Linked DNA regions of Alligator mississippiensis. The protein of the gene in region 1 interacts with the protein of each later gene in a pairwise test. Links are inferred from orthologs where the notes say so. Each region holds a gene or a part of one and is shown on either strand. Other genes may lie near its edges.

Region 1 (7,082 bases):
AAATCCTGAGGTTACAGTCATTTATGAAGATAACCAGAGGAACCTCAGAATATCTGAAGGCTTGCATGTTCCTCAATTGTACGTTCAAATCAGAGATACTGGTATCAGAGGGTTATGAAGAGAGGCAAAACCTTTTTCTGAACCAACAGATACAGTTGACAGAAATGAGAAACAAGCTCTTGGGCTTCGAAAGCTCTTCATCAAGTCTCTGAAGACGTCCGGGATCTCTGGAAGGAGCCGAAGAGGCGAGTCAACAATCTTCTTGGAGAGGTTTCCAATCCCCATAAACAAGGGAAAGGAGAAATACGGAGATGAACCATCAGCTATGAGGTCTGTGGCAAGCTGAAGGTTTTGGTCATGTGGAAAGTAGGTCTGTGTTCTTGCTGGAGAGGGATCCATGAGAGTACATGGCCTGCAAATGATGAGCAGGGAGAATGACCTCCTCAGATGGGGAGTATCTGGATCAGTCAGGAAGACAATAAACCAGGACGGCCTGGGGACGGGGGAATGCAGTCCAGGTGCTTCAACTTTCTGGGCAGACATGGCTCTGAAATCACCCATCCTTGAGAACCAGGTGGGAGTGCCGGTGCATTGCTCGCTGAGGGAGCTGCAGCAGTTGTTCATCAAAGCCAGTCTTGCTGGTCCTGGAAAAGCAGCAGCATCAGTGGATGGAAGGAGCTTGTATCCAAGCCAACCCGGGCTCACCCACCTGTTGATAACCACTGCGCTTGGCAGAAGACTGTTGGAACGAGCATCACCATTTGCAGACAGATCCTGGAAAGGGGGCTACTGAGTGATTTTGGCCAGCAGCATCTGGTTCTCATTCTGCCTTGGGAAATCCCAAGGAAGAGCTGGGGGAAGGGATGCTGGGGCTCAGAGGGCCGCTTCCAGCCCTATGTGGCACATGCAGGGAAATGTTCCCCAGCAGGCCCCGGGCACTGCTTCTGCAGGACGGCTGCTTCGTCTCCAGTTCAGGCAGGGCAGAGAACAGCAGCAGGTGCCTGCTGCCCCTATATGAAACAGCCCTGAGCAAGGGCAGGGAGGAAAGGTGAATCTAATCCCAACTTCTGCCTTCTGGGCAAGAGGGCAGACATAAAGGTACTATGCCGAAGCCAGTAGGACTTCCCCTCCCTTTTGTGCAGTAGCAAGGAGGTGAGGAGGAGAGGACGCCCCTTCTTCCTGAGCAGTCAGGTGGGGAGAGACCTCAAGCACATCACTGCTGTGCCAACAGCTTCCAGCACAGCTCGTATTTTGCTTGTCTCTGCAAGAGCCTCTGAGGATGCTTTGGCCTTGGAAGATGATGGGCCAAAGGCTCAACTTTCACTGGGGAGTTAAACTTGTCCAGAGTGCCAACCATTTGGAAAGCAAAAGCATTCTGGGTAATTGCACATGCACAGTCTTGCTCCACCTGAACCTTTTCAGGAGCTCAGTTTTACAAGTACAGGTGGAGCCAGACAGAGAGCCACCTGCGAGTGCCCAGGGGTCACTACTCAGAGGTGCATTTCTATTTTTCCTTGTAGCCAGGGTAGGTAGCCCTTCAGCCTGTCTGTAGCCAAGTTAATCTCTCGCTGCCGTGCCTTATGGTAACCCTCTCTGTGTTGGCCAGGCCAGCACTCTAGCGTGAGCAAGGAGCCGACATGCACAGACAAGGCTGCCTTTCAGCACGACTCACCTGGGAGTCCCGGAGCTCCAGTCCTTGCAGCTCATTCAGGCTAATCTGTCGGCTGCTTCCTCCTGCCTTGGCCACCACCTGCCCCACGAAAGGTGAGGTCAGCAACTGGAACTTCCTCACGGACGGGCCTTCCGGCATCTCGGATGCCGTCAAGGGAGCAGCAGGGATACCGCTGAGATGCCTTGAGCCAGGTCACCCTACTGCTGAGGAACATAGACAGTGATTCTCCCCATCTCTGTGCACCCCCTAAATCATGTGCTCAGTCTGTTGGCTGCAGCAGACTGTACCAATGCCCCTGTTTCAGATCAAACTGCTTCATGATGCCAGAGCCACTCAGCTGCAGCAGCATGAGAACAGATCGCAGTTATATCAGGGTAGAGATGCTCGTTCCTGGCAATGACTGCTACACTTGGGAGGCTGCACTACATTAGTTCCACCAGTTTCAAACCACTGGCATTAAACAGTGCAAATTTGGGGACCAGACATGCCCACAGGCAGCTCCAAGTCACAGAGGAGGTGGGTGAGCAAGAGGCCTCCGAGCTGCCTGGTTTCCTGCTCTGACTCCTAGGGGCTTCTACTGATCTTGAACAAAATGCAAATCCCACCGTGCATCAGCGATCCCATGCTGGGCGGTTGAAATCTCCGGGCTCCAAGAACACACTTTAGTCCGAGCCCTGATACACTGGAGCTCTGGCGGGCCAGAAGCTAACTGGACAGGTTGCCTGTCTCCAATGAGTAAGGGGACACAAACCTTAACTCCTGGGTCACCGCTCTGTAACTAGCCACGCTCAGGAGGAGCAGAAGGATGCACTTTCCACAGAGCCTAAGTGACTTAGGAGCCTAAATCTGACTGAAAACCAAAGGAGAGTCAGGTTCCCAAGTGTTTAAGTCATTCTGAACACTCATTTAGACAACCCCATCAAGGTTTGCAGGCTGGGTCTGGGTGCCAGGAGACTTTCATTCATTTAAATCACAATAATAATTGCTGCCGCTCACTAGGCACCATTACAGAAACCCCCCGAACCGTGGTATTGCAACAGCACTCAACATTAGAGGTGTCTGCAGAGTGGGCATAGACTGGGCAGGCCTGACGTCCAGCCCCTCACTGCGTGCGAGCTGGGGAAGCAGGGGAGAGAAAGGTTGGGGACCATTTTTAAATCCCCTTCATGCTCGGCGAGGCCAAGGATTGGAGCCCTTGGCTTCTTGGCTGCCTGTAACCTGCCCAGCACAATGCTGCTCTACACTAATCATCTGCCTTTGAAACAAGAAGTGTTGAGTCAGGAGAATGCAACATGTCCTGGGGAGAGCGGGTCTGGAGGTAGCTGCTGCCTGCACCCCCAGGCCTGGGAGCATCCCTGCTGCACCCCTGCACCTCTGCCCTGCAGCTGGCAGGCAGCACCCCCTGGCCAGGCCTGCTCAGTCCAACACCGAGCGGCCGCTCCCCGGAGCAATCGAGCGTCGAGCAACCGATCGGCCCTGGGAAGTGGGTGCAGCTGCAGCAGGGCGCAGGGCGCTGCACCCTGGGGGAGGAGGGGAGAGGGGTATTTGCATATGCAAAACGGACAGAGACCCCCAAATCCCCAGGGCACCTGCCCCTCCTTGCATGCCCAATTCCCCCCCCAGCCCAGCCTCTGACTCCCCAGCCCTCTGCTCCCCTTCCCAGCCCTGCTACCCCACTCAGCTAAGCCCCTTCCCCCAATCTGCCCCCCACCCCAGCCAGTCCTTTACCCCCCAGCCCTCCCCTCTCTCCCTAACCTGCACTCCAGGCTGCCCCTACTCACCGCTGCCCCCTCCACCTGCTTCCCCAGCTTGGCCTCCTTCCCAGGAAAAGCTGGGTCTCAACCTAATTGGCTAGCAGGTGGGCAAGGGGCGGGGCTTCCAAAACTGGGCACACCCACCCCACCAGTTCCCCCAGTCCTGGAGACTGAACTGGGCAATGAGGCTGAAGTTGGCTCCTTGTTCCCATTTCCTCATTCCCAGTTCCCTATTCCTTATTCCCCGTTCCTGGTTCCTTTTTCAAAGCTAATCTAGACCCAATAAAAACTTGTTATTAATGAATTCCACACCCTAAAGAAAGAGAATTTCATTAGCTTTGCATATGTACTAATTAATATGCAAAATAATATTCCACATCAAGTACAGAGCCCTAAATGAAGGTCAGATTAGGAATAGGGAACTGGGAATAAGGAACTGGGAATAAGGAATAGGGAACTGGGAATAAGGAACCAACTTCAGCCTCATACTGGGCACAGGTAGGTGGAGAGGGAGGCTGGCAGCCAGGATCTGAAGTTGCAGCACATCTGCTGCCCTTACCATTCCTGAAAGCCGCCGTCCTGCAGAGATTTGGCCAGGGGTTGAGCTCTGGGCCTGGCAGTAGTACACGGATTTCTCTAGGGCAACCCCTGGGCACAGGCAGCCTCCTCTACTCACCCCAGCACCAGGGACTCATTGCATGCACATCAACCCACCTGTGGATACTCTTATTTGGTTCGAGAGAGACTTATCTCACATTAATCAGCCAAAGCTCAAACAACAGCATGCTAAGGAAAAGCATGCCAAGAAAACAGTGAAGGGTGCAAAGTCTAGCCATCCAAAGTCAGGGCACGTCAGAATCCCAGTCGCGCAGGTGGCTCTTATTTGATTTGTGTATTTAATTAATTTGATTTGCATTTTACTTGCAATTATTGGTGGAATTCACTGCCACAGGACAGGGTGGCTAATACTTTAGAAGGCAAGGTGGTTTTGAACCTTGTAGACTAACCCAAGTAGCAATATATATATCTCGCTACTTTGGTTGGTGTGTGTGTCCATACATACATACATACATACATACACACACACACACACACACACACACATATATATATATATATATACATGTATATATATACACATGTATGTGTAAATACACACACACACACATATATAGACATATATACATGTATATATATACACATATATACATATGTATGTGTAAATACACACACACACACACATATATATATGGCACAAACTTTTGTGGGCTGAAGCTCTCTTCATCAGATGGGAGCACAGCAGTTAGGGGACAGCCTCTGTGTCAGACCTTCCCAGACCTTAAATGCTGGAGGCTACAGGTGAGAGAAGAATAGGGGGAAAAACCCTGGTCGTACCCCATTCACTCTCCCTTTCACCCTCCTCTCTCTTCCGCTGTGTGGCACTGGAGACTGAGGAAGACGGATCTATGATCTGACCCGGTAAATGGCAGGTCTTACATTCTCATGTAGGTGCAAGGTGCAAAAAGCAGTGTATCCAGAGAAATTTGAATATAAAAAGCAAGGGACGGGGAGAGGGAGAAGGGGGAGGGAGGGCAGTGTGCGAGAGGCAAACAAACAAGCAACCAGGGTACGCTTCATCCGTGGGTATAAAACACCTTAGTTAGGGTGAACCCTCCAAACGAGGCCTTCCTAGGCCTCCGAATGCTGGGAGATGAAGGGGGCTGATCCAGATCAGTCTGGACAGGCCCTAGGTAAATACAGTTCCCCTAAGCATCTGCTCCATGCCACAGTGAGGGACACGTCTATCCGTCACATTAGGTTTGGTGGGCCTAGACCCACCGAGAAAACTATATGCCTACCTGAGTTAGGGAGGCCACCAGACACAGAACAAGAGATTCTGGGAACAGCAAAAGATCAGAGCAAACAGGGCTGGAAGGATAAAAACAAGGGTTGAAAGATGGGTATCTGGTACCATGTAAACCAGCACAGCCTGTTCAATGGTCTGGTTGTCAGCGACTAAACCGGCATCCCCACCTAGACTAGCCTAGGTGAGGAGGGTGGGCGGACATCCATCAGGGCTAAAAGCAAGACCTGTCAAAGGGCAGAGGAGCTCCCTGCGAGCCAACAGCCATCCAACCCTGGAGAGGTGGATGCCACCAGGTCGCTCTGCCCGAAGAATCACCAATGATGAAAAGCAACTCAACTAACCTAGGAGGGTTGTTACAGCATCGAAGGTGTCCCAGCAGTTGCAGCAGCCTCAGGACTGACTTGACTTGACTCAAAGTGGGGTACCGAGCAGATCACACTGCCCAGCGACCGCTGCCCCTTGAACGAGTCCAAGGAACCAGCGGATGCCGCCCAGTGAAACTCTGCTAGGAGACATGGGTGAAGAAGTGATCCTAGGACCCACCCATGCCCCCAGTCACCCTGGTTCCTCCTGGCCAGAGCCTCCTTCTTGGTCTGATCATTTTTATTTAAGGAAAATGTTTTGTGTCCCACGTCAAATGAGCCAAATCAATTCCAAATCCATGTGAGTCATTCAAGAGCATATACGGCCCTGCTACCAGCAAGCATCCTTCACCCCAGCCTGGTCTTCTGACTTCCTCTGATGCCGAGTCCGTGACACGAAGGCCCACTCAACCCTCCACAGGCCACGCTGGGCAGCGCACCACGCATGAACCAGAATCACTGCAGATCCACCACATACTTATTTCAGTGCAAGAAAAAATAAGAAAGAAGGAAACTTGATTATTTTTATTACCATTGTTGTATTTCCATTAGTCCTAAAGGTGTAGAAGTTATGTGGATTGGTAGCCATACTACATCATATTATAATATAGTTTTTTTTACATCTTTAAATAATTACAGCTTGTTCAGTTTGGGTTTTTTTCCCCCCCCGCAACAAATGCACCTCTCTTTCCATGGGACCTTCCCAATGAGTTTGGGAAGCTGCAAACTTTATAGAAGGACAAAAAAAATAAAAAGCAAAACAGAACAAAAACCCCACAACGCAGTCACAGCTTCAGGGCTCTATTAAGGATTGTTGATCAGCATTAAAGCGCCCATCAAAATGCCTTTAACTCCTCCTGATCAGAGTTTCGAATCAGCCAGTGAGATTGCTGTCTAAATACAGATCTTTTCTGATCACCAGGAAAACAAATGTAGCGGCGATTAAAGATATTGCACTGTCACAAAGAGGAAAAACAATCAGAATTGGTTAATGACCTTTCTAGCCCCCCATTCTCAGCCAGACTTCCCCCCGTGCCCCTGTACAGCCCACAACAGAGGTCTGATTTTATTGGGACCTGATCTCGAAACTGCACATGGGAGTAACCCCCTTTGCTTTTCGGGGGTACTCACAGGAGTCAATTTATACAGGAGAGGTTGCAGGATTATGCTCGTTAGGGGGGAATGGTTTTTACCCTGTCTCTGTGCAGGACTTAACGTAAGAGGGCCCCAATTGAGCAATGCAAATAATAAATCCTCATCTTGTCTTTCTGAGCATTGCTTGAGCGCCCTGAATGGGAGGAAGGGGTGGCATTCTGCTAACGGACTGAAGGAAAGGCTCCTGTAGTTTAGTCCCCCGGTTTTGTATCTCGGGCAGCGCCCCAAGATCTCCCAACTTCTGGATTCCTCGGTGTGATGTCCCTTTCCAG
Region 2 (6,827 bases), on another chromosome or scaffold:
TGCAAAGTGTTAAACTAGAGAAAGCAGACTAATGAAAATAACAGTTGGTCGGGAAGCAGGAAATCAATTTGTATTTTGGTGATATCATGTATGGGTTGTTTATAGTTCCCCTGTAATGACAGGTGTGCAGGCAGCAAGTGGGAGAAGAGAGTGTCAAGGCTGCTCACAGCAGTAAGCAAGTAAAAGGTGCCAAGGACCATTTGCTTTCCATTTAACACATGGGCACATGCTTTGGAATATTCTCAATTTGCTAACTGTGCCCTGATAATGTGATTGGGGTGAGATCTCCCACCAACTCATGAATTGTTAGGAACTTAATAACTTAAAATTGTATTGTTCTGTAGGGGAGCAAAGATTTTGGAGAGTGATATCTATCATTGGACAAACTGCATGGTCGGGATGGTTTTACCCAAGAATGCCCTCATCTGAAAGCTCGTCTAAAACTAACCCAGACATGTAGCTGGGGTATCCATGCCTCTCACGTATTTCCTGGACACCTACAACATCACCCCAACATTACAATAACATTGTTCTGTAAGGATTCTTCTGTAAGGGGTTTTTTTGGGGGGGAGGGAGGAGGGAGGTGTTGGGTGGAAGAGGGAGACAGAGAGGGAGTGCAGCTGTAGATGGTCATAAATTCTACCTGGGTTTCAAGAGATCATAAATGCATGAAAGGGAGTAACTTGGACTCTGGAACAAAGAAAGGGTTGCATTACTAGATGTTTCAGATATGCACCGACAGCCTGTCAGTGTCTAGGGGGAAACAGAAATGGGAGACAATCATAATCAGTTATTAGGGCTAACCATGGAGAGAGAGAGAGACAGACAGAGAGAGAGAGAGAGAGGGAAAATATTCTCTTGTTTAATTGCAAGGCAGAGACTCAGGAGATCTGGACTGAATTCGTAGCTCTGCTATGGATAACATATGGAACCTTGGAGAAAACATTTCATTTTTTGTGCTTCAGTTGTCTCTTATATGCATGCTCTGAAGATAAATCAGTCACAGTTTGTGAGGTGTACAGATCCTATAGTTAGGAAAAGCTGCATAAAAACCCTTCAATTGACAGCTTCCTTACAAACCCCCCCACCTTTATCTTAATTTCTGTATTTAACACTGCTGAACAAGTGAGGTAACAGCAAGTCAGTAGCTAACTGGCTGTGAGATTCTAGGGTGTGGAAATAACTTGTTTTTCCTAGGTAAAACAGTGCAATTCAACTGTATGTATCATTCTCTCTGCAGCTGAGGACAAAGCATGCTGGTGACTTGTCTGACGGGTGAGTTGCTAAAAGAAGCTTTGATTTTGGATTTGAGTTGAGCGTATTAAAACTCAGTCAGATCAACACAGAGAGTGGGATTAGACACCACACGGGGGACAAGAGTAGACACCTCATATGTTAGAAAGCTGAAAGCTACTTTAAATGCATCTGGCTACACAAACTAATGACAAAATGACACTGCAATAAGGAGTATTGCCAACTGCTGTAGGGAACTAGAAGACAGCCTGTGATCTGTAGTGAATACAGATGCTATTCCCTTCACAAACAGTTAGTAGAACTGGAATGTTTCCTTCAGATGCTGGTACCTAACTGCACAGACATCAAAGAACAAAATGAATAACCCCCGAGAGCCTGTACTAAATGCTAGGGCACCTGCTACTGTAGAAGAATGCATTTAGCAAGCCAGTCTTCATTTGCCTTCCTAATTTTACCTCTTTAAAAGTCAGGGAGTGGGAGCTGGCTCCTGTTTATTCCTAACTAAGTCTGTACTACTCTTGATTGCCTTGACCCTCATCTAACTTCTTAATAGGTTAGTAATAGTAATTGCTAACTAGTTTAGAGTTGAGATTTGCAAGACACTATCCCAGGCTGCCTTGCCCTTTGACTCTCATCACTTCATGCTGAGACAAATGGCAGCCGAGCCATAGATTATGTGTTGGAGGGCTGTGAGCTCCATGTGCAGAACACCATGTGATTCTTTCACACACAAAAAGGCTACATCATGAGGATGGAGGAAGTAGCTAGTTTTGGCAGCAAGATTTGGAAAAACACACCAGGAAGCATCAAACAGAAAACAATTTAGTTTCAGTGTTAGTGTCCCATATGGCCAGCTACACCTTTTCCCTAGACAGGAATTCTAAAACATAAGTCTCTCGGGTTTCTTTTTCTAATTTCTGTGCTGTGGAAGTTAATGGGCGCTCTGGCCGAGGAGATTTTGCTATCCCACATCCCTAGTGATATGTCACTTACCTGAGTTTTCCTTTTTCCTTCTGGAAGCCTTTTTCTCAGTTTCATTAGTACTGTTGCCTGGTACCCCATACTCTTCATTCACACTCTCTGCAGCACCCACCAGGTTTGGGCTGCCACCTTCTAGCTCCCCAGAACCCAAAGCCAGTCCAGGATTTAGTCGCCTTCTGGCCTCAGAGGCTGCAAAGTGCCAGTCGGAAGGCTGGAAGGAAGGATGCTGCTCTGCAAACCCGCGTTCCTCTCGAGGGAAGCTGTGGGGCGCAGTGGCCAGGCAGGAGGCTGAGAAATCGGAATATGTAGCAAAGTCTGGTTTTTGATGGAATGAGAAAGGTGCTTGAGGGTAATGATTCAGCCCGGATGCAGTGCTGACCTCCGTGGTGCCGTTCCGTAGACACCCCCAAAGTGGGGTATTGGGATGGGGACTCCGCATGCAGCTGCTCATGGAAGGATCCATTTGCCAGCTCTATATCTGTCCACGCTCCAGAGGCTGTAGCTGGGTTTGTCTCAGTCTTCAAGAACACGAGAGAAGGGAAAAAACAACTTTGAACTTTTATGAAAAAAACCCCCCAGAATTGGATTTCCCCACCCCTGCTAAAATACAGCTAGTTTGTGGGTTTGCTTGGTAGCCAATTTGTTAGTTTGGGACCTCCACTAAACATCTTCATTGTTGTAGCTGGAAAACATTAATCAATTCTATACTGCAATTGGCCTGAATTGTTTCCCAGGGCCTGGAGTTGCCTCCCTGTGAAATGCTGGACATGGGTGAAACACTTTTTAAATACTGTGCTGGGGAGTGGGCGACAAGTTTGTGAAGTGAAATGTGAGAGAGAGGAGGGAGGGGTTAACTTGCATACACTCAGCCCCTCCAACCAAAGCAAAGCAGGCAACTATTAATCATCCGAAACCTTATATGCACATCTAATGGGATTTGCAGATGGAGACTTTTAAAGAAACATTGTCTGTATTTTTTTTTTAAAAGGAAAAGAGCAGCACACAAAAAGGCTTTAATGTTTCCCTGTAACACTATGAAGTTATTTTTATTGCACTGTTAACAAAATTCCCCAAGTCTTGGATTTGGAAAAAGCCCTAAACCAGATCCAGAATGCAACAGATGCCAAATTCCAGGGACTATAACAGGAAATAAAATGAAGAGAGAACTTTACTGATTGCAGTTGATTTAAGGGCCAATCATAAGTTAAAAAAATAAACCTGATTTTTTTTTTTTTATCCAAGGTTTTATGAACAACTTTTGTTGACTCTGTTTCAGGCAGATTTGCTGATATGAAGATTTTGTTGCCAGTGGCAAAGGATAATCCCTGCTGCATCTCTCATTGTGTTCTCTGAAAAGAAGTCTGTTTTCCTGGTAAAGAGACTTTTTTCATCTTTTATTCAAAGGGGGGGGGGGAGTGTTGTTTTGTTTTCTTTGTTTTTTTTATTCAGTTTGTGTTAATTGAATGGATTCTCTGCCTGTATAGCAATCGTAGTCAGAAGGATGTTAACACGGAAGCTGCCTCCACCTTTTTCCTAGAAAGAAGTGTGGGTGGGGAATAGTCAGAACATATTGCTCTCATGAGCTGTGCCAAAGCCACTCTGTAGCTTGCCTCAAGGAAAGTACTGATATCTACACAGCACCAGAATATAGTGTATGTCCATCACATTTGCATCTCCTATCTGCCTTCCCCTCCAGCACACATTCCTCAGGACCCTGCTACATTGTCAGGATTAAAAAGCAAGTGATTGCTAGGAAATATAACACTCACAGGTACTTCATTATTTAATTATAATGATCCTCTTGCTATCCAGGGATAGTGTTACCCAAAGTAAAATGATGTTTCTAGAGAAAGACAAGCATCCCAGTGGACAAGACATAATACCCTCCTTGTCGTATTGTTCCAGACAAGTATACCAAAATGAATCACATCACCAACAGGCTACAGATCAAGTAGCTTTGACAGTGGACTCAGCTGATCCCACCTGCCAAGATTTTGGCTTCTAAAACAAATCACGAGAGACAGAACTTGTGAGAAAGGTGATGGCATACATTGCCTTTATCATACCACTCAGCAAAGAAGAAATCATGTTATGTGTCCTTATCACCTCCCTGATAGACCACAAAATGCTGCAGTCCCTCATGATTGGAAGTAAGCTCTTGTGGTGAATGATTGAAACTGTTCTTATTTCAGTTCTGCCACAGATTTCCAGTGCGACTTTGAGCAAGTCACTTAGGGCTAAATCCAATCTCACCTTTACATTCCTAAGTAGCGTCTATATAGCTCTGTAACCACAGTTTTTGATGCTTATGCACAATTTGGATTCTGTTTCCATCTGTGGTAGAATAGGATTGTTCACGTACCTGCTCAAAGTAAAACAGAGGAGGCCAGCCCCTCCCCCTTTTCAGCCTACATTTAGGGTGCTTGCCCAGGAAGAAGGAGATCCAGGATGTAGGCCCTCCCCAGCCAGAGTGAGTTTGCACTTTTTTCTCCCATGGCTCAGCCAAGTGCTGGAACCACAAAACCATGCACTAGGCAGTACTCAGAATATACTAGCTCTCTTCTTGAAGCTGTCTCACTGGGCTTCCAGGAGGGGAAGTTACTTGGGACCACCAGGAGGAAGTGAAGTAAGCCAAAGGGGTAAGAGAAACGCCTCCCTAGAAGGGAAAGGTCTCTTGTTTATTGTCCTGGATTCTGCCCCGAGTGGGACAGAAGCTATCTCAAAGCTATTTTAGCCAATGCATATTAAATGTAAGGTGAAGGGAAGCCTTTAGGTACAGAACCTACAACATCAACTATTTGCTAGTCGTGGCTTTTCCATGACAAAAATTTTCAGACTTACACAATATTATGTGTGCGCCCAGGTGATTCTATCCTACCATGGAGCCTACATGGACTGAGTGCAGAAGACCAAACATTTGCAGAAGAGAAGCGCAGGGCAAGAATAACTACAAACGCACAAATAGAATCTGCTCTGTGCATAAAGGCCAAAAGTTGTACTAACCCAGCTATGCCACTTAAGTGAAGGTGAAATAGGATTTAGCCCTTAGCCTACCTGGGCCTCAGTTCTCTACTTGTAACATGGGTATAATAATGCATCCTTTTCCCATCCCTTGTATGTCTTATATGTAAACTCATCAGGGTAGTGACTGTCTCTTATTTTTTGTGGGTACAAGGCCCTGAGTTCCACTGGGTCTTCCTTGTACTTTGTGATACTAGTAATAATAGTTGAAGATCTGTGAGATGCACCAAGCAGACAATACAAACTATGCTTAATTGCTATTGGAAGTGGCGGGTGATTTTCTGGTTATGCTGTCTAAAGCAAGAAAGTGGGTTAGAACTGCTGGTAACAAAAGAAATTATCATTTTATCTCTACCCCAACAGCTTGGAACAAACTGACTGATTTAAAAAACAACAAATCCATCTTTTCCCTTCTATATTTTATCCCATCCCCACTCTGTTGCTTGTGTCTTCTACATTTAGATTATCTGCCCCTCCAGAGACAGAGAACCTGTCATTCTGTTGTTCAGTAAAGATCCTTTAACACGAGTGGTGCTACATGAAAACAAGTAACCCTTCTCTGAGGAAGCGAACTCTACTAATAAAGGAGTGCGCAATTATTTTGGCTGGGGGCCGCTTAATGAGTTTTGGGGAACTGTCGAGGGCTGCAAGGATAGCCCTTTCCCTTGACAAGTGCCCCCACCCCCTGGTCACCAGCTGGGAACCAGAAGTCCTGGCCCCTAACCCCTAACCTTTGCTGCTAGAAGTCCCTCCCCTTGTCCCAGTAGTACTCCTTTTGGGGGTGGAGGTTTGCCATCTTGACGCTGGAAAAAAACCAAATCATATACTAAAAGAATCAAACGTACTATAACTTACTTTAATTTTTTTTTTTTTAATCTTGTCCTGATTTCTGTGTGTTTGCATAGTGTATCTTGAGGTGATTGCATGATAACTCAAAATACAGTCTTACTCTTATATATTGTGGGTGGTACAGTGTGGGTATGGTGGGTGGATGTGGAAGTGGGTGGATGGGGGGTATCTGGTTGGGATGGGGTGTGTGGGAGGGTGTGGGTGCGTGTGTGTGCGTGTGTTGGGGTGGGGGAGTCCTCAGAGTCCCTGGCAGTGGCGAAACATAGGGGGTGCACAGGGTGCACGTGCACCCCCTGAGAATGCTGGTGCCCCCCCTGACAGGCTGCACTCCCTGCTTAGGTGACGGGCAGGGGGAGCAGGTGGGAGTGTCGCAGCCACTTCTGGGAGCTCTGTGGCCATTTCCCGGTCAGTGCAATCAGCTACGAGGGACACCCCCCCCTCCAGTTGGTGAGATTGGCCACAGGGGACTCCCCTCCAGTCACTGACTGGTCGCTGGGGAGGTATGTTCCCCCCCTGACTAAGGTGGCACCAGTTGCCCATGGTCCCTGGAGTGTGTGAATCCCTGAAGCTGAGTGTGCCCTGAGTCCTTATGCACCCAGCCCCACAGCACATAGCTCCCTGCACCCCCAGGCCAGTCCCCAGCTGCAAGTGGCAGCAGCATGCAGGGCCGGCCCCACCCCACCCAATAGCTCTCTTGCCCAAGTCCCCGGCTGCACATGATG

What was found. The genes of interacting proteins can lie anywhere in the genome.
Region 2: the proteins of NEIL2 (region 1) and MEOX1 interact in binary tests that used the Homo sapiens proteins (3 or more experiments, as listed by UniProt). The two-hybrid records come from large-scale screens. The link is inferred for Alligator mississippiensis from reciprocal best matches to the Homo sapiens genes NEIL2 and MEOX1.

Annotation. Positions count from the first base shown.
Region 1 is NC_081824.1:8,147,181-8,154,262, reverse strand, and holds the start of NEIL2 (endonuclease 8-like 2), read right to left. Parts: upstream 3,021-7,082; 5' UTR 1,811-3,020; coding exon 1,673-1,810; intron 1-1,672. UniProt on the Homo sapiens protein: Involved in base excision repair of DNA damaged by oxidation or by mutagenic agents. Has DNA glycosylase activity towards 5-hydroxyuracil and other oxidized derivatives of cytosine with a preference for mismatched double-stranded DNA (DNA bubbles).
Region 2 is NC_081827.1:153,166,834-153,173,660, forward strand, and holds the start of MEOX1 (homeobox protein MOX-1), read right to left. Parts: upstream 3,008-6,827; 5' UTR 2,699-3,007; coding exon 2,248-2,698; intron 1-2,247. UniProt on the Homo sapiens protein: Mesodermal transcription factor that plays a key role in somitogenesis and is specifically required for sclerotome development. Required for maintenance of the sclerotome polarity and formation of the cranio-cervical joints.